Drosophila melanogaster: one gene and its partners. The protein of the gene in region 1 interacts with the protein of each later gene in a pairwise test. Each region holds a gene or a part of one and is shown in the gene's direction. Other genes may lie near its edges.

Region 1 (11,124 bases):
GGTCTATGCAAATTAAGATTCAGATGGGTTTTCTAGGTATGATATATGGTACACGTGAGGCACAGTGGTCTTCGAAGTTCTGCAAAAATATAAGCTATGCTCTATAATATTCAACAACCAAAATAATTTACTTTCTCCTCTTTCTTAACCTTATATAACTTAATATAACTTTATTTTAGAAATAGCACATGTATCTTATATTATCTCTAATTTTTATTCAACATTAACTTTATCTTAGCTTCGATACAAAAAGCTAGGATATGTTTCATACACGAGTCGATGAATAATTACTGATTTTCAAAATAGCTATGATTACTATTTGAGCGTCTGCCTTAGCCCACATTCACTGTACTCGTATATCACACACTATGTTTCAATAAGGCCGCTGCTTGAGGCTGTTGGCGTTCGGCTTTATTGTGTCTGCTCTTGCGGTTCTCGTTATTGTTTTTTGGCAAGCCTCGGCCCAAGTCCAATTCGAAATGTTGAATTGTTGTTGAGCTATTTGTTTTGCACATTTTCAGTCGCTTGTCGCCGTGCCTGGCCTCTCCTCCATCGTCATCTACATCTCCATCGTCATCTACATCTCCATCTCCATCTCCACTGCGATCTCGAGACTCCATCATATTTTTGCAGCCATGACTAACCTCTGCTTGATGTTGTTGTCGTTGTTGTCTTCGAGTTGTCTTCACGCATGCGCCGTGGGAAATATTTCGACGAGCTTTCGTAGAAACGTATCTTAGATCTTATGCGGGCATCGCAGCCGAATTCTGCCTGCCAATGGATCGCAGATCTAGCTCTAGCTCACATTCTCGCAGCCAAATGTTAAGGTTGATTCTGGCACACGAGGCGTATACTCACTTCCTGTAGCATGCTCGCGGTACACGCTGCGTATGAGCGATGTGGAAGCGCGTGCCGGGGCCAAAAATTGCAGGTAATTAAGCAGAAATAAAAGGCTCCATCCCATCCATCGAAATCGAAAAGTTCGCAGCACTCCAGCATTGATTGACACAAGCACTTGTACTTGTACAATTTGCCATTTGTGTTTACCCAACTTCTTCGGTTTTTGTTCTCGCACTGGCTTTTGTTTTATATAAAAATACATCAAGAACGATTTGTTTTGTTTTCAATTTGTTAAGTTTCATTTTTTCCCCTTTTTTGTTCTGTTGACTGATGGCGTACGTGTTATATATTGAGAGCCCATTAAGATGGGGCACGGTAATGGGCACATAAAAAATGGCAATTGGTGAAAATTTGCTTATATCCGATGCTGATAAGCCATCGCAGATGTTCCGAGGTTTTTTGCCTTTAAGCGGTAATCAAAGCACACTTGACTCGAAAATTCTATATAACAAAACTGAAATAGCACATTGGCTGCGAAAAAAATGTAAGCTTCCGCTAAATGTCTAAAATAAAAGAGAAAACTTCAATTGAAATTCAAGCAGCGATGAAATACAAGTTTTTAAGCATTTAATCTAGATCTGGCATATCAGCAACTTATTTTATAGCTGCGGAAGTAGCTCATCCGAAAATGCACTTCGATTTATCAGTATATATGTATGCGTATGCTGAATCTACTAGACCACGAATGAAACAACGTTTTTTAAACTAATTAAATTGAAATAATCCCTTTGCAAAAAGCCCATTCCCCCAGATCACGTCACTTTGCGACTGCCAGCTTTAAATTCCAGCAATGTCTGATTTAATTAATGGCTTCCCACTCGGGGGCGCTATGACCGGACAATTCTAATTTATTATTTTGCCAGTCAGGACACAATTACTTTGCTTTCCCATATTTCACATTGGGGCTCCATGCCAGCGGAAAAAATAAGCAAAAAGCCCAAGCAAATGGGCGCAATGTCGGGCCAAGGTCATCGCAGGACTATTGTGTTGGTCCTGACTGAAAAGTGGGCGTTGCCCAGGTGTCAAGAGTCAAGTGTCAGAAGGACTCCACTGGTTCATATATTTCCATTCAACTGAAATGTGTACTCGATTTTCCTTTTTGTCCGAACAAAGACGTATTCTTTTTAATCCATGTAAATCAGACAAGATCCTTGACGACGCTAAGTACTTTGTGTGTCATGATTTAAGGGAAGTTTCGTATATGATTTATACTTGTTTGTTTCTCCCAGGCATATTTTTGATAAAACTGGGCTGAGCACATGTAGTTGAATCACAAAATGTCGTCGTTTTCGATAAACGCACTAATTAATCATCCGAAAATTTACATAATTAACTATTCTTTGTTAAGCTATAAAATTTCAGTAACTATGATTTAAGAAATGTAACATAAGAAAATAATATGTTGAATAAAAGAGAAACTCTATAAATAAATAACTACAACGCTTGTCAGTTTAGAATGCGAATGATCATTACAATTAACTAGGAGGTTTCTATCAATCCGATTCGGAGTGAAGTGTATTAGTATTTTTGTACCCGTATCAGCACGTGTTGCATTCAACCGCCTTATTCTTATTTAACTTGTTATCAGTATTAAACCCGTTATTATCTATAACTAATAGTGAAGTACACATAGCCTATACTATAATGTTTCTAATCAGGAAACCTTAAGATAAAGCTAAGTGGTATTTTTAATCTAAGCCAAATTCGCTAGTCTAAAGACGTGACATTAACTTTAAAACCAGGAATGACCTTTTCAGACTCGTCTACACACAATATAATTTTAAATATTACACACTTTTTGGCGAATTTACCCTAATAATTAGCCATTTTATGATTATGATAATAATGAAAATAAAATTAAAATAAAATAAAATAGTTTATAATAATAAAAATAATGTTATATATAAAGGTCGAACAGTTTCAGACCATAATGTAAGCAAACTATACATACAAAGTGTGCCTACGTTGTTTTCGGTGTACTATCTCGATCATTTCTACTCTTATATTTGACTTATACGATTACACTTTATTTTACACCAAGCTCACAGTCATAAAATTGTGATTATACGCATTTATGAGGGCCTCATAAAAGTGTGCTTGGATTTGTGATCTGCGATTTTGCGGTTATTAATTTAAAATGGCAAATATACTTCGAAGACAACACCCATAAAGATAAAGTGAATTTGATTTTACGTCAAAATGTCATGGAAAAGTTCGGTATTCTCTGCTTGGAGTACACTAAATTAATTAAAGAAATTGTTTGTGAAGACATGATTTCTGGGCCGATTTCTCTGATAAGAACACCGAAAAGCAACGGAAACTTTTCTGCAAGCGTCACTGTCTGACGTGAATGATGGGTGGGTGTAAATATTACCCCTAAATAACTATTTGCAGTCCATAAATTTACTGATTGGTCGGAATTTTCAATTTAATATTTTTGCATGGTTTGTGTCTTGGCTGACGCGTGTGGGGTGTGGTGAGTTTCGGTGCCTGGCATGTTGTGTTTTTAAGCGGTGCGCCCGCGCAGCTAAACAATTTCGAATTCATTCCCTTTCAAAACTTTGGATAGTGCAATTAAATTAAATCGATGAAGAATTTGATATATATATCTATAAACGAATAAGTTCTCTGATTAACTTTCTTATACTTACGCATAAAGCTTATATTAAAGCGTATAGAATGTAAACATAAAAGCTCATAAAAACTAATTTGTTTTTAATAATTAGTTACACATTTATATAAACATTTAGTTAATACGCATAATTACATTATTTAGTTTTTTATAATTTAATTAATATAAATGTGCGCTCTTCGCATGAATTTATCTCTCTGCCCCTCTCTCTTTATAAATCGCGCTCTTTCTGCGCCATCGTTTTTGGTGCCTTTGGCTTTTTGCTGCCAAATGCGGTCGCGCAGTTTTTGTCGTCGAGTCAAAGTGCGCGGATCACTCCTCGAGTGAGCTAACAATTCCTGCCGAATTGAATTAAATATTTGTTAAGTGCAAGTTAAGGTGTTAGCTGTTGTTGTTGCCGTTAAGTCGAGTTCGTAAGCAGGTGGCAAAGGTGCCAAAGTGAGCTAATAGCAAAACAAGGTAAACTTCTAATTGAAAGTGATCTTGAAAATGCATAAAGTACATAAACTTTAAATGGGCATATCAAAAAGAGAATATTTCAACATATGTGTATTATTAATGTTTTTAATTAAGTTTAGATCTAATCAAATCAGTTATCCTGCAATATTATGCTGTTAATGGTGTATTTATAAGCTTGTAATCGATTTATTTATATTTAGTTTTTGAGTTTAATATAAACTAATGAAATGTAATTGCTTATATAGCTAAATAGTGACAAATTTAATAATTTAAGTTAAGCAAGTATAATTCAAAGTAACTAAAGTTTCTCCCTGTGCACCGAAACTAATGCTGTAATACCGTTTTGCATTTTTTTCTAACCCCTTACTTCGCCATTTATCAAATCTACTTTGATCTGTTTTCCTCTTGTTATGATTTTTGGAATTTTGTGAGACCGCCCCCGCATGTCAATCGTAAAAATATAACAATTTATGTACAATTTTTACTTTTGACCGCCAGCACGATTCTGAGTAATTAAAAGCCGCGAATATAAAATGTTATTCTTGCCAAAAGATGTGTATTTGAAAATTCATACATTTGGGACATTTCATTGTGCTTTTCATTTTGAAACCAGCGTTGCGTGAAACGATGCGGTCGTGCGATCTGTTTAAGCTTTTAAGATTTCTATATGTTTTGGTATTGTGTTCATTGGCTAATTGTTATTTAGGTACGGCAATGCCATGATCCGATGATATGGTAATGGGTCTTACAGAGCTTGGGGCATTCAGTTCGCTTCATATCTGACACTTGTGATTGATGGGTTGACCGCAGCAATTTTCTGGTCTCTGATTTGGTAATTTAAGTGAAGAATGTCCATCAGAAGCCTGGCTTCACTGTGGCCCCGAACACGTGTGGGAGTTTGGGCTATTAACTTTGCAATTGCCTCTGTGTGTGTGTGGTTTCCCCCCACTTTTATCGCTCCTGCCCCTCCCACGTTCGGCGTTGCATACAAATTTAGGGCTTAAGTAAGTTTTATGGCTTTTTAAGTGACAAAGTTGCGGCAAACAATTGCAAACGTCTATATCGCCAAATGCCATCAGGCGACGAACGCAATTGGAGCTAGGCCAGATACAATAGTTCAAAAACAATGAATATGAAGTCCAGTTCCCTGATTTCAGGCAAAGTTAACAGCTAGTTCCTAAGCTTTAATAGTCTGCATTACATTGTTGTCCCTTAACTTTTTCAAAAAACACTAAAATAGTTAGAGATCATGTGACTGCCATATTGGTAATTACTTTGATGCCAATAAATGCTACTCAAAACGGCAATAGTACCGAAAACACTTGAAAAGTGGTCAAGATAATTTGTATACTCGCTTTTAGAGTCCATAAAAATACATCAAGAAAGCAAAGCCAAAGATATTAGCTCATCAGCTTCAGAAACGGGAGATTTATACCCGTGTTATCGGCATGTTTTTAAATTAATGACGAATGTCTGCGTATGCGGCGATTTTTCTTAACGACATTCTTCAATATTTGCATATAATTAAATTTTATTGGAACACATTTTTAGCCGCCCCTCGGTTCAATTCGGCGAGAGTTCAAGTTCATGAACCCCTTGTTCATACACGTTTCGAAAGTCACAAAAATGCCTCGAATGACGAAAATCAGAACGAAATGCGTTGAAATGCATTCGACTTTGTTGTGTGTGCGAAAATATGTGTGAATTATGTGGATTTTGTTCTCGCCGTTTGTGCTAATTTGTTGAGCAAACTTTTACTTTATTGTTCGGATATTATGCGAATTGGCACGGACCCACTTGTACACTGGCAATTAGCCACATTTGTTGGCGCGCTATTGAAAATTCCAGAATTGGTGAGGGGCATATTGGGTTTCCAATTATAAAACAAGCTTATCATCCATAAATTGCGGCCCGAAATAATCGCAAAGCAAACTTTAATCAGAGCCGATTAATTGCTTAGATTTTTCATTCGAGGACCCAACACCTTGTGGTTGTACATACACCATTTAACCATTCTCATTAGCTGCAACCAAAGTGATAATCAGCACCTGTGAATCCGCACTACGGAATGTCAGTTAGTAGCTGGCCAATTAAAGCATTTCATAGGAACTAATAAAGATTATAATTACATGCTCAAATTGTTGAATCCGTTTTCACAATGCATGATTAACGGTCGATGACAAATATTGAAACTCTCAGGTTTTTACCCCGTTTTCCTCAAACCTCCAGTCAATGGAAATTGTTGTGTGGGTAGATTTTCGCTCTATGGCAAGGCATTCCACTTATCCGTGGGCCCAACCTTAAGTCAACTCAATTACTATTTGATCATCCAGCGCACCCCCTGCACCTCAATTAAGGAATAGAACTCGCTTTTTCATATCAGAGCACTTGAGTCTATTGGCTGATATCGATATGGGGCTCATGCTCGTAGATGACGCAAATGAAACACGAAATTCATTAAGATTGCATTAGAAAAGTAAATACTCGAAGTGATGAACAACTTGAATGCTTTGCGAGCATAGAAAATGGGAATTAACATTGAGCGCTCACTGATTGATTACCAAATGAAATGATATATGCAATATAAATTATTTTATACATACATACTCGTATGTATTTTTAAAGCTCTCGATGTTCTTGATGTGTGGGGGCATGGCCAACAAGTCTTAGCCCATTTTTGGGCCTGTTCGTGACCGCGTTGCGCCAAATAAGAAGAGCAAAGCAAACGCTTTCCACTGATGCCACTCTAGAACACTCTAAAAAAAAACCAGGCCTAATCCCCCCGCGGCTACAAAAACTGCCGGTTAAAAACTCAATTGCGAGTTCTGTTCACTCCTGACGGCGTTGTGCTCAAATATTTACATCGTTTTTATGACCCGTTGCCAATTAAATATTATACACTTTGTTTGTTTTATATATATTCTCACATGCAGCTGCAATTGCTGATAAGCTGGCAGTCGTCGAGTTGAGAGGAGGATTGCCCAGTTACCCACTGGCTGCCTCCAGTTACCCACTTTTAATGACAAGTGCTAAAGTTGAGCATTTAATAAATAAACGTAGATTAAGAATTTTTGGGACACAAGCCTTGAGTTAAATGAAAACCCCTAGACTTTTCCAATTGAAGACCAGACAGAAGTGTCGGCCAATTAGGCATCGTGACGGAAATTGCAGCGGAAATGCAGATTGTCAAAACTGTCACCAAAGGCCAAAACAATATCGCACCTTAAATGAGTGATAAAAGTGGCTAAATACCTGCTGAAGTCGGACAATTGTCCACTTCCATTTTCAAACACATTTCCATTTGCATTTTGGATTGCCATTTGCATTAACTACCAGACATCGTTCACTGATATTTCCGTTGGTCTTTTTTTTCAGTCCGTCAGTTTTAGTTGAAAAGTGAAGCGAAGAAGATGGGAAAATTCGAATACTCACTGGGTCTCAATGAGGTGAGTGCAAATCATACAAAGACAAAGTTTAATCGAAATACCAGTCAGTTATTAAAAATATCATTAAATAATGCTACTTTACTTATTAATTTGTCTTCTAGCTCAAATCCAAGGAGCTGCGATTGTGGCAGGCCTTGATTGGAGAATTCCTTGGCAATTTGATCCTCAATTTCTTTGCCTGCGGCGCATGCACCCAAATTGAGGATGGCACCTTCAAGGCCTTGGCTTTTGGCCTGGCTATCTTCATGGCCATCACGGTGGGTGGCTCGTTAATCTACGACATTATTCATACCCATATTCAACTATATATCCTTGCAGATTGTGGGCCACTTGAGTGGTGGTCATGTGAATCCTGCCGTTACCGCTGGAATGTTGGTCGCAGGACGAATTAGCTTGATCAGAGCCTTTTTCTATGTGGTTTTCCAGTGCTTGGGTGCAATTGCCGGAACTGCAGCGGTTAAGGTAGGCATTACACACATAAATTATTACATACATCTGAGTGAAATTATTAAAACAAAATACTCATCAGATTCCACTATTTCTTATATCATCATCATCAATTATATAGAGGTCGTCATTATGACAAAAAAATCTAACCTATCTTTACTTCTATGGTATATCTACAAAACAGCATTGCCAAAGAAAAGTCATTTGGCTTGTAAGTGTCTCAATCAGAACTGCCAGATTTCAAAATCAAATCCAAAATGTAGTCAATTAAAAAAATGTATAAATAATAATAAATATAAATACTTACTCGTTGTAAGATGATTGTTTGCAATGCTTTTGAGCTTATCTCGCTTTCTTAAAATAACACACTGAGACACATATGTACATACATGTTATTAAGTTTATTATTGTGATTGCCTCACATCCGGTTGCGGTTAAAAATGCCTTGTGTTTTGACCATTACTTTCTTTCGTTGAGTGGATAAATGATACGGGTACGCCAATGTCAAGAAAGTACTTTGATTAAATACTCGTATTTTTCGGTTTTATTTTGTATTAAAAACTACACATTTTAAAAAACAAATGATTTAGTAGAAATCACCAGTTCAATGAATCAACTTAAAATCTAATAGTTTAAAGTATTTTTACATACTCAACAAAACTAAGAGCTATATTTATTTTTAAGATTAAGATATCTAATCTAATCTATCTATCTATCTATATATAAATATTTTTTTTATACCAACACATTAGATTCTCATCGATCAGGACTATTACAATGGCCTGGGTCACACCTCTCTGGCGCCCAATATCACCGAGCTGCAGGGCCTGGGAATCGAGTTCTTCCTGGGACTCCTGCTGGTGCTCGTCGTCTTTGGGGCCTGTGATCCCCACAAGCCCGATTCCCGCTACACGGCGCCCTTGGCCATCGGAATGGCGGTGACCCTGGGTCACTTGGGCACCATCCGCTACACCGGGGCCAGCATGAATCCCGCTCGCACCGTGGGCACCGCCTTTGCCACCGACATCTGGGCGTCGCATTGGGTATACTGGGTGGGACCTGTGCTGGGGGGCGTGGCTGCCGCCCTGCTCTACACCCAGGTCCTGGAGGCGAAGCCCGTGCCAAAGGTTAACGAGGCATCCGAGAAGTACCGAACGCACGCCGATGAACGCGAGGTGAGAGTCAGGTTGATAAGCGCCTGGAGCGAGGAGTCCTTCTACTGATCCGTGATTCCGCCCACCCATTACACACACACACACACACACACACCCATCACACACACAAACACTCACTCACACTTGCATTGTAAATACTCCCGAATTACTTGATTTCAGGGATGCAAACCGAACCACAACCCGAACCATTTGGCATATACATATCTCGCTTAACTATAACTATTAAATGTGTTATGTTTTATCGCTTTAGCAGCAGATATTCGTATACTAAAGATATTACGACCTGCACGCAAAACTAATCTAAACCGCTTTTGTGAACCGAATACGATTGGTTTAGAAACTCTTCAATCCTATCAACCGAACCCGTCCGCCATTTCGATCGGTTTGCATCCCTGTTTAATTAGCTAACTAAATTTTGTATTATTGCAATTTATTTACTTGCAGATGCGCAAACTGGAGGGAGCCCGTGACTACGCCTAGATATAAAGAAATCTTTGCGACTCGAATCTAGGGATACAGATGAAATCTGTGTGTTTAATCCATTCATTTCAGTGTCTAACATAAACATGTCGTGTTCTTCTACGTTCGTGTGTATTTATGTATTTATTCATGCAAAATTCATTTTTAACTAACTAATATTTAATGTGTAAGCTGCCCTAAAATGCAATCTACAACAAAATTACTTGTACTCTCATGCGCTCACAATAAAGTGGAAAACATTAACTGAAACAAACTGGTGTTTATCGATTTTGTATCTTAATATAAAATAAAATATTACTATAAAATTGCTATACCCATGAAAAAATTTAAGCAATTCAATAAAATTCGAAATAAAATATAGCTAGCTAAAATTTTCATTGGTTTTTGCATCTTTAAAAAGAGCGCAATGAAAAGCTTATGCTGCAAGCTTTTCCGGCCGAGTTTCCCAACACTCGGTATGCGGAAAAGCTCCGTGGCAGCATACGGCAAAAGCGCCATGCGCCAAAACTGTCAAAAAGCGTTAAGGGAAAATCGGAAAATCCGCAGTCGTCCCCGTCGTTGGCCATGTAGTTGCGTGTGACCTGCTAAATAAATTACAAAATTAACAAATAAAAAACGTCTATCGACACTAATTGGCCACAACTTACTGTTCAACAATTGATAAATTATTCGAATTAGTGAATTAAACAATTGGCAAGTGTGCACAGTTAAGTGAAAGGCCAGATGAAAATCAAGGCAAAGCGATGCACTAAAGTGTTGTGGGCCAAATCAATAGAAAAGCAGTGAAGGAGAAAAGTCACCAATCGACGGAAAAGCGACCGAGACCACGGCGAGGGTCGAATGCAAATTGCAGTAGACCTCGTTAAGGCTAAGAACACAAGTTGGCCGAGTTAAGCTGGCCAATCGATTCCGAGAATCGGGACCATCTTATGAAACAACGGCCCAACCGCCGACCCGGAAAAGTGTGAAACGAAAGGAAAGGAAAAGTGAAAAGTGCTGGGAAAAGTGGAGAGGCTGCAGCGTCGTGTAAACACAGAGTCGCACAAAATCAATACTCGCGTGTGTCTGGGCCAACGAAAACCAGGCAGTCAAACATGAACGAGGACTCCAATTCGGTTGGCCAGTAGTAACTGGGACTAAAGGCAAGTAGTTAAACGGTCTAAAAATATGCCATTCGAAGCCCTGCTCTGCACTTGACCCACTATGCAATTAGCTCGTTATAGCCATTAAAGCTTGATAAATGGCCAGGAAATGTGATCGGGAGCTATAATCATCGCTAAAACGTTGGCATTGCGCACACTTGTTGCACGGGAACCATAATTTGACCCACTTGCATGCATGCCACACACAAGTCGAAGACCAATATAATATGTATCTCTAATATCTTTGATGCAGTGGTGCATTTTTGCTTTAGCGGCTTCCATATTGGCAAGACTTTATTCTCGAAATTGGGTGGTGCGAAGCCAAAACCTTAACCTGAAAAGATCGATATACCGGGTATATATCAAAGGGGTATATTAGTTTGCAGTTCAAGTTAAAAACAGACTCTAAATATGTCTTTTAAAGATATGAATTTTAGCAATCG
Region 2 (5,296 bases), on another chromosome or scaffold:
CCTTTGCGAGCTGCATCCTGTAGCCGGCTTCTGGCCAGGTCCTTGAAGGGCTGCTGGAAAGCTCCTTGGACGGCGATGATTCTCAGTGCCAAACTAATTTAAGCTGCATGCCAATTTGCCTTGAGACATCGAATGTTTATTAAATGTCTGAAAGTAAATACAAAAATGTATGCAATAGTTATAGTGAAAATTTCCAACATTTTTTATGTATTTATTATGCCGAGCTTTAATTTTAATAATATCCTGTTGTTCCATGCTGGATTATTAAAGTGCCTTCCTTTTAGAGTAAATAAAATTTACGTAAGCTTTTCACCAATAGGAGGCATTGAATATTGGGGATTTATTTACATGCCACAAATGCGTATGCACATAATTTGCATGAATGTTACTACAAAATGATGTCCTGACTGCGGAATTAGGCGACATGTGCCGAGGGGAAAAAAACCGAAATTCAAATATTTCCAACCGAAATTTAAGTATGCGAGCTCGAATGCAAAAAAGGATAAGTCGAATTCGCTAAAAAATAAAAAAAAGAAAACAGAAACAAGGAAAAAGGGCTTATGGCGGATTTATTTGGCAACACACGTGTCTATGTAGTCGGCAAATCCCACAGTCTGGAAAGCATTTGCCTTCCCGATCAAAACCCAACATCATACAACTGAAAAGCAAACACAGGTTCACGCAATTCAAATATTACCGTGAGCTCTCTTAAAAGATACAAATTTGCAAAATACACACACAACAAAAATCGTAGGTGGGGTTTTTATGAAACATGAGGAAAAGGTAAACGAAGAGGAAAATTCAAAAAACACATCAAGTTATCCAATAAAATGTATATTTTCCGATGATTGTATGAAAAGTATTATAATGAACATATGCACATGTTTGTTATATTTTAGTTATCTGCTGCAGACACTAAACGAGTGGAAGTAAGTTTTGTCACATCTTTCTTTCTTTTATTTGTAGTTTAAATATTAATCATCCTTTATATTCGACATATATGTACATTTTCTCAAGCATAAGTGTGTTTGGCCATACAAGTGGATCAGCCAAGTTGCTCCCACAACCGATGGCATAGCAGCCATCGTGTAATTTCCCAGCCTACTTTTCCGCCAAAACGTTTTGCGTCTAATGAGTTTTCTACTTGCGGTTTCGGGGAAAATTTGCGCAAAAATGCGACTCTTTACATTTAAGTGCCGAAGGGGAATGGAAAATGGGTGGTTGGGTTGTTATGGGGCATCGTGGTTTTTACCTTGGTGGTGAGAAGTGAACAACAGGACCGTATGCGCTGTAAATGTTTTAGTGGTTACCGCGTTTAAGTCATTAGAGAAAATTCTTGGCGACCAGAAAAGGGTTGGGTGAACTTTGCTTCCAGAATTTGAATCTCAAAGTCGCTGAGCTAAATGTACGTACATATATTATGCGGCAGTTTTTGGCTGGCTTTGGAAATTTCAATAGAGGCGGCAAATGCTTTGGATTTAGTGTTTACAAAGCTTGTGAACAGTGAAAAGATGATCCAACATTAATTATGTACGAAACTGAAACTGTGAGGGGAAACAAAATAAGGAACTTTAACAATTTCTTTAGGTATTCCCTTTGAAAGTTTCTAAGAACATGCTTGATAACCTTTAAAATCTAGAGTGGAATATGTGGAGTATGTATACGTCCTTGAAATATATATAGTGTGTTTTTTATACGAAAATAAAAATGTGTCTGTAAAATTAATTAACCAACTTAAGTTGATTTAAACATGGTTTTCTTATTCTTATATTAAACAAAGTGATAAAACTCAATAGATTATTTATAGTGTAATTACACTCAATACACCTACAAACTCAGAGTTCATACAAGTGCTAACTAAACAGTCTGCAACATTCGGTCCTAAAGGGATTGATACATTTATTTGACTGCCAAATATTGTACACCCGTTTTTATGTGCGAAAATATCGGCCAGAAATGTCTGCCTATATTTAAATAACTCTGTCGCAATGACCGTAGCGAAACGTGTCCGACAACGGTTTTAAAAAATTAACAACATTGCTCCAATTAGTCTGGGCAGTGCGGATCATAATTGTATGGGCACACATCGTTCTTATATAGTATATACATATGTATATTTCGCAGGCATTCGAATATCCAAATTTGCGTCACGGCACTGAGTTTTTGCGACTCCTTTCGTTTTTAAATCCATTTGGTTATCACCATGGACAGACGCTTAAATTGAATTTATAAATAGTAACAGACCACTATTTAACTAATAGACTCAAATTCGAACAGCAAAGACTTACTAATCAAACAGATGTCGACTTACTTAAGAGCTAGTTTTTATCGATAAGTGAGCTGGATTTATTAAAAAACTAAAAAAAACCCAGCTAAAAGTCCTTGAAATTTTTACTTTTATTTTGCACTGCTAATAAGATATAATTTTGGGCTTCCTAGTTGATTCAGTATTCCGAGATATAATGTATATTTATAATTATTTACTAATATTTGTTAAATATAACTAATAATTATCAGGTCACTGTTAAACAAATAGTTTTACCTATTCTCGCTTTCGCCGTCAGATGGCTGAATCGAATTTGGCAAAAAGGTAATTTAACTATTTACGAATGGTTTTCGTCGGACATATGGTGGTGATGGGCCTGACTAATTATCCACTGAGATCTGCACGGCCGACAAAGGAAAACAAACAAATATTTACGGAACACACATCCATTTGATTGCCTGCGGTTGGTGGACCCTTCCTCTTCATTTTCATCGCAACATCTGGTCCTGAAATTGAAGGACCTCTGACCAAACGAATCAGCTGTGTCCAAGGTCGCACCCCTGTAGTTTTAACGGCAAACTCCCCATTTCCATTTGAGTCAATACTCATCGCCTTTTACCTTTCGGTTCCGCAGTGGGTCAATAATTAAACTAACGATGAAATTGATACGTTGTATATCCAAACTCACATTTATCTATAAGTTTTAGATACGGTATTTATGTGTTTCCTTCAAATAGTTGTTTGAGTAGATTACAAAACTAGAAACATGGTTGAAATTGTTATTTATTTGTTTCAATGGAACCTATTTAAACTTTCTCACCCAACTTGGTAAAAATTAGAGCTTATTTTGCATCACTATTCTAGCGAATCCGTTTCGGTCATAGGCTATTTCCCTATGCCGGATCGATTTGCACCACATTAGCATAGCTCCATCGACAAATGCGTTAGTATCTATCCGGAAATGGAGCGACTTAATTTGTCGAACAGGGCTCGCCTGTTTTTCCACCTGTCGGCCACCGTTCACCTGGGCTATGCCATTTACTTTGACTGTCGGTATGCCCAGTTGCCACAAGTGGCGGTGACCCTGCGCCTGGAGCCACCGATTGGTGGCAAGTTTAAGTACATGACGTTTCTGTGCGGCCTTTTGCAGTTGGGGTACTATACACTGGCGCTGACCTTTGACCTCCTCCGATTGAGATCTCTAAGGAAGCTGCGAGACTACATCTTCGCCACCTTTGCCGTACCTCTGGCCCTTACGGTGGGTCTCACCTTTTGGACACTCTTCGCCATCGATCGGGAAGTGATATATCCGGTGCTTTTGGACCTGGTCTATCCCAATTGGCTGAACCACACCATGCACACCTTCGTCGTAATCTATGCCTTTGTGGAGTTGGGTATTACACGACATCAATATCCGAAACGCAGTCGAGGATTCACTGGACTGGGTGCCTTCATGTTGGGATATCTGGTGTGGATACATATCGTTTGGTTCCGGACCGACATCTGGGTGTATCCCTTTCTGGGCGGCATCGCCTGGCAGCTGAGAGTAATTTTCTTTGTCCTTATCATGGTCCTCGGATTCATTTACTATCTCTTCGGCGAGCGAGTTAATAACGTCTTGTGGCAGCGATCTACTGGTGTCCACAGATGGATCGATTCCCATTGAAATGCACATTTGATAGTTTAAGGATAGGAACATAAATAAAGTATATAGGATATGCTTCTTATTAAATTAAATATGACTACTGTGGAAGTCAAGCTATGCAACTATTCAAATCGTACAAAAGGCGCAGTAATAAAACTAATATACATTTTTGTAGAAACCATAAAATTCAATTCGAAAGTAATAAAACATGTTTCCGGTACAAAGATCAATTGCAATATAAAAGTCGAAATCATCTAATTTTTCAACACACATAACGGAACCGGAAATCGCTCTGAATATATTATTTTGGTTTTCAAATGCGTTTATCATCGAAAAACCAGCTGCTAAGAAGCGGAATCCATATGGATTCGAACATATTCTCATTCAACTATATGATAGTCACGTGCGGAAATTACAGCTGCCAGCTGATTCTGGAAAACCGATCCATTGTTTTACTCAATCCTTTCAGCGGGAGGTTCCGGTTTGGCTAGGATGTGGGCTCCGATTTCGAATATTTCAGGACACCACTTGTGCCAATATTTCGAAAGTGATCTCCGGACAGCCGAAACTCAGAGAAGAAAGGCACAGTTTTTCATTGTTTGCTGCAAAGGCAGATGGGTAACAGCCCATTTCTGTCAATCACTCATTTGTGTTTTCTTAAGGCGGTCTGGTTGTAAACATTTCTATTCTTCCGGTTGTATGCCATTATTAGCAAATAACTAAATTATTGCTTTCTTACTTGCTTGTTAAAACAGTGTTGCCTGAATCGTAAAAATGCATGAAATTAGACTTAAAAATGTTAATATAGATGTTACTTCAACAAAAATCAACTAGAAATTCACTTAATGAATAAGCGTTTGATTGGAACTTTGGTAATCTCTACCTAAAGCGCAGATCATTTTGATGATTCAATTCTAGACCAGCAACATATGAAAAGGTTATTTGGACTACGAATTTATTAAAAAGGTTATAAACCTTTATACAATAATATTAACTGAGTCCGAACAGAAGCCGCATTGTTGACAAGCCGTTAAATTTCGATTAGCACACGCGAACAGCTGTTGAATTGTTTGATCAATTTTCGGGAGTAGCACGTTTGAAGATCGTTGATGCATACAAACCAAGGTCAACGACAGCTAAAAAAAAAAATCCGCCGAAAATGATGGCCAAAATGGTGACTAATAGTATGTGTATATATTTTAACAAAATTCGGGAGCCAATTAAAAGCTTAATAGCTTTCCCCAAATCGCACTAGGAATACTGCGGCAAAAGGAGCTCAATTGCATTGGCCGAGAACTGGCTTTAATTGCTGACTCCGCTGGGCAATGGGCCATTAAAACTAATTGGTCTGATTGATTGTACTCCTCGTGGTGCACAGAGAAACA
Region 3 (6,143 bases), on another chromosome or scaffold:
ACTTAGTTTAGTATGTATATATAGTTTATATATATTTTTATACGTTGACAGCCGCGCCGGAATTTGGATTATCAGCTGCTGATTGCGAACCCTCTTTGTCTATAATTGTTTTTTAATTTCGAAGAAGCTCGAGGAGGCGGGAAAGTGTCACGGCTCTTATTGATCACTCAGTGGTGTTTCCCTGGTATCTCGGCACTCATTTCAGCAACACGACATTAGTTAGATATCTCAATTTGAATCGCACTGCGACTCTTGACTTGACTTGACTAGACTTTCCTCTGAAGGTTATCAGGTTCTGGGGAAAAATTACCGAACTACAAATGTTTATATTAATAACTTGTCCAAAAGAACCGTTTGAACTGAAATACAAAATAAATAAATCGCACTATGAAATTATGAAATTATGAGTTATATATATTTATTTATTTGTATGCATAATTAAATAGTACAATTATATGCAAGTATTTTGAAATTTTATTATCTATCTATATAATCTATAAAAATAATTGATGTTAATGTTTAATAACAAAAACCCCATTTTTTTAGTCAGTTTTATTTTCCGTTAAACTATTTTAAATCTATCCGCCTTATTTTATTGTTTCGCCTAAAAGCGAGTTTTGTCCGTTTAGAAATTCGCCCATAAGTATGCAATGACATTTAAACACTTTACTCGATACTTTTTCCAAATCACAAGGCATTTTCGAAGTAATTTAAATTCTTAAAAAATAGTTCAAGCTACGTGCTTATTTACTTTTTATATTTAATTGGTAGAGTACTAAAAATGTTTTTTTTTTTATAATAAAGAAGGGAAGCTCTCTATTAACCCACTAAGCCTTATGAATTAAACCAGCTGATCTTGCTCTTCATTTTATTACTATTTTTTGGCCGAAATGATAACTTATCTACTTCCTATTTAATTTACCGGTAGCCAATTGGCAATCTCCAACTTGTTTATAAAATCACCATTCACTACGACTAGAAATCACCCAGTACTTTAGCAACGAAAAATATAATTAATTTTTTCTGAAGTAAAATTTTATGAATGCTCCTTAAAAACATTAAATTTATAAATACAATTTTATCAAACATTCCCATTTTTTGTGCTCTATCATTTACCTTTTCAAAAATATTATATAGCAAATCCCTAAGCAAAATCAATACATTTGATTGTAATCTTCGAGCTTTTAACAAATGACTTCTATTCATCTTTATTTAACCCATCTTACCCAGTTGAATACCCCTCAAAAACCAATCCGCTTATCTTGCCAGCAAATAGTGATTGCTGCTTATCCTCTGATATTTATAAGTAATCGCAGGTCGACGTTCAGATTCAGTACGAGTTTATGCTTTGTCCAAAGTTGAGCTGTAATGGAAAGTGAGTGGATTGCAAACTGCCAGTGGTGTAAATCTAACTTTATTGTTTTTTCAAATTGCAGAATTTGGTGCCATACTGGGCGTGGCACTGGTGCTACTGCTTCAAGGCCTAGATGTGGTTAATGGCCGGAATGAGGACATCTGCCGCTTGTTCTCCAATAATACGGTGATCCGAGATCCCGAATCCTGCAGTCAATCGATCACGTGCATCGATTCCGTCAGCTACTACAGTACATGCACGGGATCTACTCCGTTTTTCGACAAGGACACGGGCAAATGCGTTAAGTCACTGTCCACTTCCACGTCCAGCTGCTCGATATCCTGCGCGGATCGGGCCAAGCAATTCGTGGCCGACCCCAAGTCCTGCTACGGCTACTATTACTGTGCGGACGAGGAGACGGCCTTGTACGGCACCTGTCCGCAGGAGACGCACTTCAATGCCACCACCCAGATGTGCTCCCGCCAACACGAATCGGATTGCACCACCAGCACCTTCGAGTACTGCAGCATTGTTAAGAACGGCGTAAACTTCGACAATCTGCAGGGCTGCAATATGTATCACGTCTGTGAGAAGGGCGTCCTGAAGGACAAGACATGCTCGAAAACCTATTATCAGGCCAGCACGGGCGAGTGTGTGTCCAAGGCTCTGGTGGACTGCGATGCCCATCCGTTGCCCACGGATGTCTGCGGCAAGGCCAGTAAGCCCTACGAGAACAAGTTCGTCGCGGATGAAGCCACCTGTCGCGGCTACTTCTACTGCGCCAAGCAGAAGGATGGCACCCCGGACCCCAATCCGGTGTGGAACCAGTGTCCCCAGGACAGATTCTTCGATGCGAGCAGCCAGATGTGCATAACCCCCAGTTCGGTCTATTGCTCCCACGATCGTTGCGACGGTCGGACTGCTAGTTTTGTCGTTAGTGCCACCAAGGGCTGTCGCAACTATCTGAGCTGCTCCGACGGGGTAACCGTGAGCGAGAGGTCCTGCGGCAACTACTTCTTCGACGACCAGCAGGGCGCCTGCACTCCAAGTGTCCAGACCTACACCGCGTGCAAGACGTAGGCATGTATTTCCAATAAAGCTCAGAATGCAATGTGATATTTGGTTAAGGAAGTGTTGTAATGAAGTGCACTAGTTTGGATTCTTTCGGGGACTGTGGAACCTGGATTGTCATAGATATAGATACGCGGCTCTCTAGCGAGTTCGTGTTTATGCACAATGACAAGTTTCTGCTGTAAGCCAGTATCTTTGCTGTAACTCGAGGATCGTAGTTGAGATATATTGTTTTTTTACCCGTTTTTATAAGAACGTAGATTGTTTTCGTTGCTCTAATGCTTAAGATTAGCTACCAAAAAGAACAATAATCTTAAACAAGTTCTAGTTCGAAATTCGAATAAATAATATCTGATGGGTGAGTGAAGAACACCTGTATTTTGTTTAATATTCCTGGAACAATTCAGCTGAAAACTAGGTAAATGAACAAATAGAATTTTAAGAATTCACTCAATCATGGAAACTTTTCTTGCAGGTGGTAACGATGGAATAGCATGGCCTCACCGAGGAGACCATAAATGATAATCACTGTCCTATTCGTTGGTTACAATCAATGTTTTCAAAAGTTCTGATTTTCCAAACAAAAACCTATCGAAAGCGACAGTGAAATAGCAAGGCAGTATATTTTAAAAGGTTGTCATATTTACGGCACAATAACTGCTGACCGTTTAATCGCATCAGCGATAAATATATTTATAGTTCAATTAATTAACGGCCAACAGAAGGTTCATTTGACTCGTAACTACCGTGGGTATACCTCATTAACTAGTGGCACTTTCCTTTTCGACTGAAGTTGCCAAAATTTACTATGAAAGTGAGTCGTTAAGGAATCTGCAGTCAGCTGTCTCGATTTCAATCGATTTCAATCACCAATTACGACCTACTTGAAGGGTTTTACCTCCTTTCGCACAACATTGATAAGATTTGCTCATAAGAGAGGCAATAAAGCGCTGGTATCAGCAGAAGCAGTGGCAACGATAATGACTCCTAGTTAATATAAGATTCTTCCATTCACGAAACTCCATTTAGTCGCGCGTAATTGGTTCCCGAGGCCACATCAAACCACTCGATCTATTCTGTTGCAAATTAAACCAAAGTTTCCCAGCAATCAGCCATGCTAAGTGAGTTTTATGAACCCATTAATTTACCGTCATAGATATTTACTTATACACCCTGATTCAGCCTTTATTTTTAGTGAAAAGTAACAGCTTGCATGCGTTTTTAAAGATACAATTAAAATGTAGAATCTAGATATTTTGTTCATTCATATTCATTTTTATAGGTATATCTTTAAAGGTTTTTAAGCATATCTATATGTTTTTCAAAAGGTGTGCTGTATCAATCTAATATCTCGCGATCATATGTATATCATTCGTAGACCTCAAACTTGGAGTGCTTCTCGGATGCGTTCTCTTGTTGGCTACCGTAGCTCTTTCGGCGAGTGTCGGTGAATACGAGGAGCTGTGTCGCCTTTTCAAGAACGGGACCAAGGTTCGCAAGCCCGGCACCTGCGACCAGTACATTCAGTGCTACGATGGCAACGGCACCGTCCTGACCTGCCCCTCCAACCAGTCCTTCAATCCCAGCAAGGGTAGTTGCGTGGACACGTTGGCCAACAGCAACAAGTACTGCGGCAATCGCTGCGAGGGATTGGATGGCGAATGGGTGGCCGATCCGACCGAGTGCCACAAGTACTTCTACTGCATGAACGGCGTACCGCTGGCGGGGATGTGTCCCGTAGGCCAGCACTTCGATGAGCGCTCTCAGTCCTGCCTGTACGGCGTGGACTCCATGTGCGTGGATGTGAACAACATTTGCGAGCTGGTGGCGGAAAATACGAAGTTCCGGAATGAGAAGGACTGCGCCTACTACTATGAGTGTGACAAGACCGGTAACCATGCGTCCAAGAGCTGCACTGTCACCTCCAAGAAGCGCGAGTATTTCGATGTGGAGAGCGGCAATTGCGTGGAAGCCAATAAGGTGGAGTGCACCGCCCATTCGAAGGAGAACGTCTGCACCAGCAGCACAACAATGACATTCAAATCCGACCAAGCCACCTGCCGTGGATACTTCGTATGCAAGGCCCTCTATCCCGTCGCCGACCTGGATCCACTGTGGACGCAGTGCCCCGAGGGCTACTTCTTCGACGAGGATCGGCAGCTCTGCGCCAATCCCACCACAGTGGTGTGCACCCACAACAGATGCGACGGACGCGGCACGATGCTGGTGACCAGCAGCAGCAATAACTGTCACAACTACATCCGGTGTGTGGACAACAAGGAGGTGACGGAGGAAACCTGCCACTGGGATCACTTCTTCGACGAGACAGTGGAAGCGTGCTCCTCCAAGATCATCTACGATAAGTGTTGCGATGGCCGGGACTAAACAAAAAATAAATTTAACTAAAAGTGCAAAGAAAAAGAGGTAGTTGATTTTTATTGGCGATCAATATATCCGTTAAAAGCAAAGACACTAGAAAGGTACACAGGTTAAAAGGGTATACTAGATTCGTTGAGAAGTATGTAACAAGCAGAGGGAAGCGTTTTCGACCATATGGAGTATATATTCTTGATCAGGATCAATATTCCACAAACCACCCAAAACTGTCACGACCACACTTTCGAACAATTTTTAAATTATGGTTTGGTTTTTAATTTCTACTAATATTCAAAAATATCGGGGACTTCGACTATAGCATTTTTTTTTGTTTTTATTTTGTTTTCAAAACAATTATATTTACGATTTGGCTTGAAATTTCAGTTTTTTTGGGTACAATACAAACATATACTATGTGCTTTATGAGCAATCCATTAATAGCACACATTTAAAATTCAGGTAATTGCCCGTATGGTACGCATTAAAATTAGACAACACATTTCTAATCTTTCTAAATTTAGAAATCAATTAGTTTTATCGTTCTGTTGATCAGTTACCAAAATGTAGAACAACATCCACATGAAAATACCAAGATTAATAGTACCGTCTTGTTAACTGTTTCTATTTGTTTATCTACAAAACGTAGTTGAGTTAATTTGCAATAAAACGAGAGCTTATGCTCAGGAAAATAAGAACTTTTTTATATGTATGCGTAGGACAATGGGAAGTAAAAAATAAATCCGCAGTTTTTTTTTAGAAAACTCAATTAGTTTTGCGTTTTCCATACGAAGTTGCCGCTTTGTTGTTGCATTTTTGAAATCATCAACGACCGTTACATTCGTAATTAAAATTTTACCGATTCGGTTTCGGCTGTTATCGATAAATACACCCGCACAGAGAATTTAAGTCGCAGCACTGCGCCTTGCGTGTTGTTGTACTTTAAGTTGTACCTAATAATAATTCCTCAAATAACTTATACAACTTAGCTCCACGATGTCTTTTAATGCTTAAATTGAATTAATTAATGTTTCCAATAATGCGTTGTATGATGCTCAAAAAACGAATGCGCGCGCAGAGTGACCATGTGTACCCGGTAAAGAGATGTTGGTGGCGTTGTGCGGCTGCCACACCGCCAGAACGGTATAAACAATTTTTATATTTTGCACTTTTAAATGTCGGAAAATCAATCTGTGAGCCAACCTAATATGAAAAGCGACGCATGGATCAGCTGATACAGCATTTGATAATAATACTTCATTGTCATCAGAGAAGCAGGGAGTTTAGACCAAAAAAAAAAACTACACCCGCAGTCCGATCCTCAAAACGTGTGATAATAAAATCA

Evidence for each region. Proteins that work in one complex are often made in the same cells at the same time.
Region 2: the proteins of Prip (region 1) and CG6149 interact in a two-hybrid assay, tested with the Drosophila melanogaster proteins (one large-scale study listed by BioGRID).
Region 3: the proteins of Prip (region 1) and CG17147 interact in a two-hybrid assay, tested with the Drosophila melanogaster proteins (one large-scale study listed by BioGRID).

Annotation. Positions count from the first base shown.
Region 1 is NT_033778.4:11,432,432-11,443,555, forward strand, and holds Prip (prip), read left to right. Parts: upstream 1-3,811; 5' UTR 3,812-3,991; intron 3,992-7,366; 5' UTR 7,367-7,401; coding exon 7,402-7,437; intron 7,438-7,538; coding exon 7,539-7,694; intron 7,695-7,755; coding exon 7,756-7,899; intron 7,900-8,636; coding exon 8,637-9,059; coding exon of another isoform or gene 9,060-9,107; exon of another isoform or gene 9,108-9,189; intron 9,190-9,218; coding exon 9,219-9,272; 3' UTR 9,273-9,309; coding exon of another isoform or gene 9,310-9,330; 3' UTR 9,331-9,441; intron 9,442-9,503; coding exon of another isoform or gene 9,504-9,539; 3' UTR 9,540-9,785; downstream 9,786-11,124.
Region 2 is NT_037436.4:11,433,393-11,438,688, reverse strand, and holds CG6149 (uncharacterized protein), read left to right. Parts: upstream 1-3,212; 5' UTR 3,213-3,227; coding exon 3,228-3,932; 3' UTR 3,933-3,994; downstream 3,995-5,296.
Region 3 is NT_037436.4:20,220,484-20,226,626, forward strand, and holds CG17147 (uncharacterized protein), read left to right. Parts: upstream 1-3,448; 5' UTR 3,449-3,539; coding exon 3,540-3,546; intron 3,547-3,803; coding exon 3,804-4,810; 3' UTR 4,811-4,841; downstream 4,842-6,143. Other genes in the region: CG17145 (uncharacterized protein), read left to right, coding at 1,369-1,375, 1,437-2,434.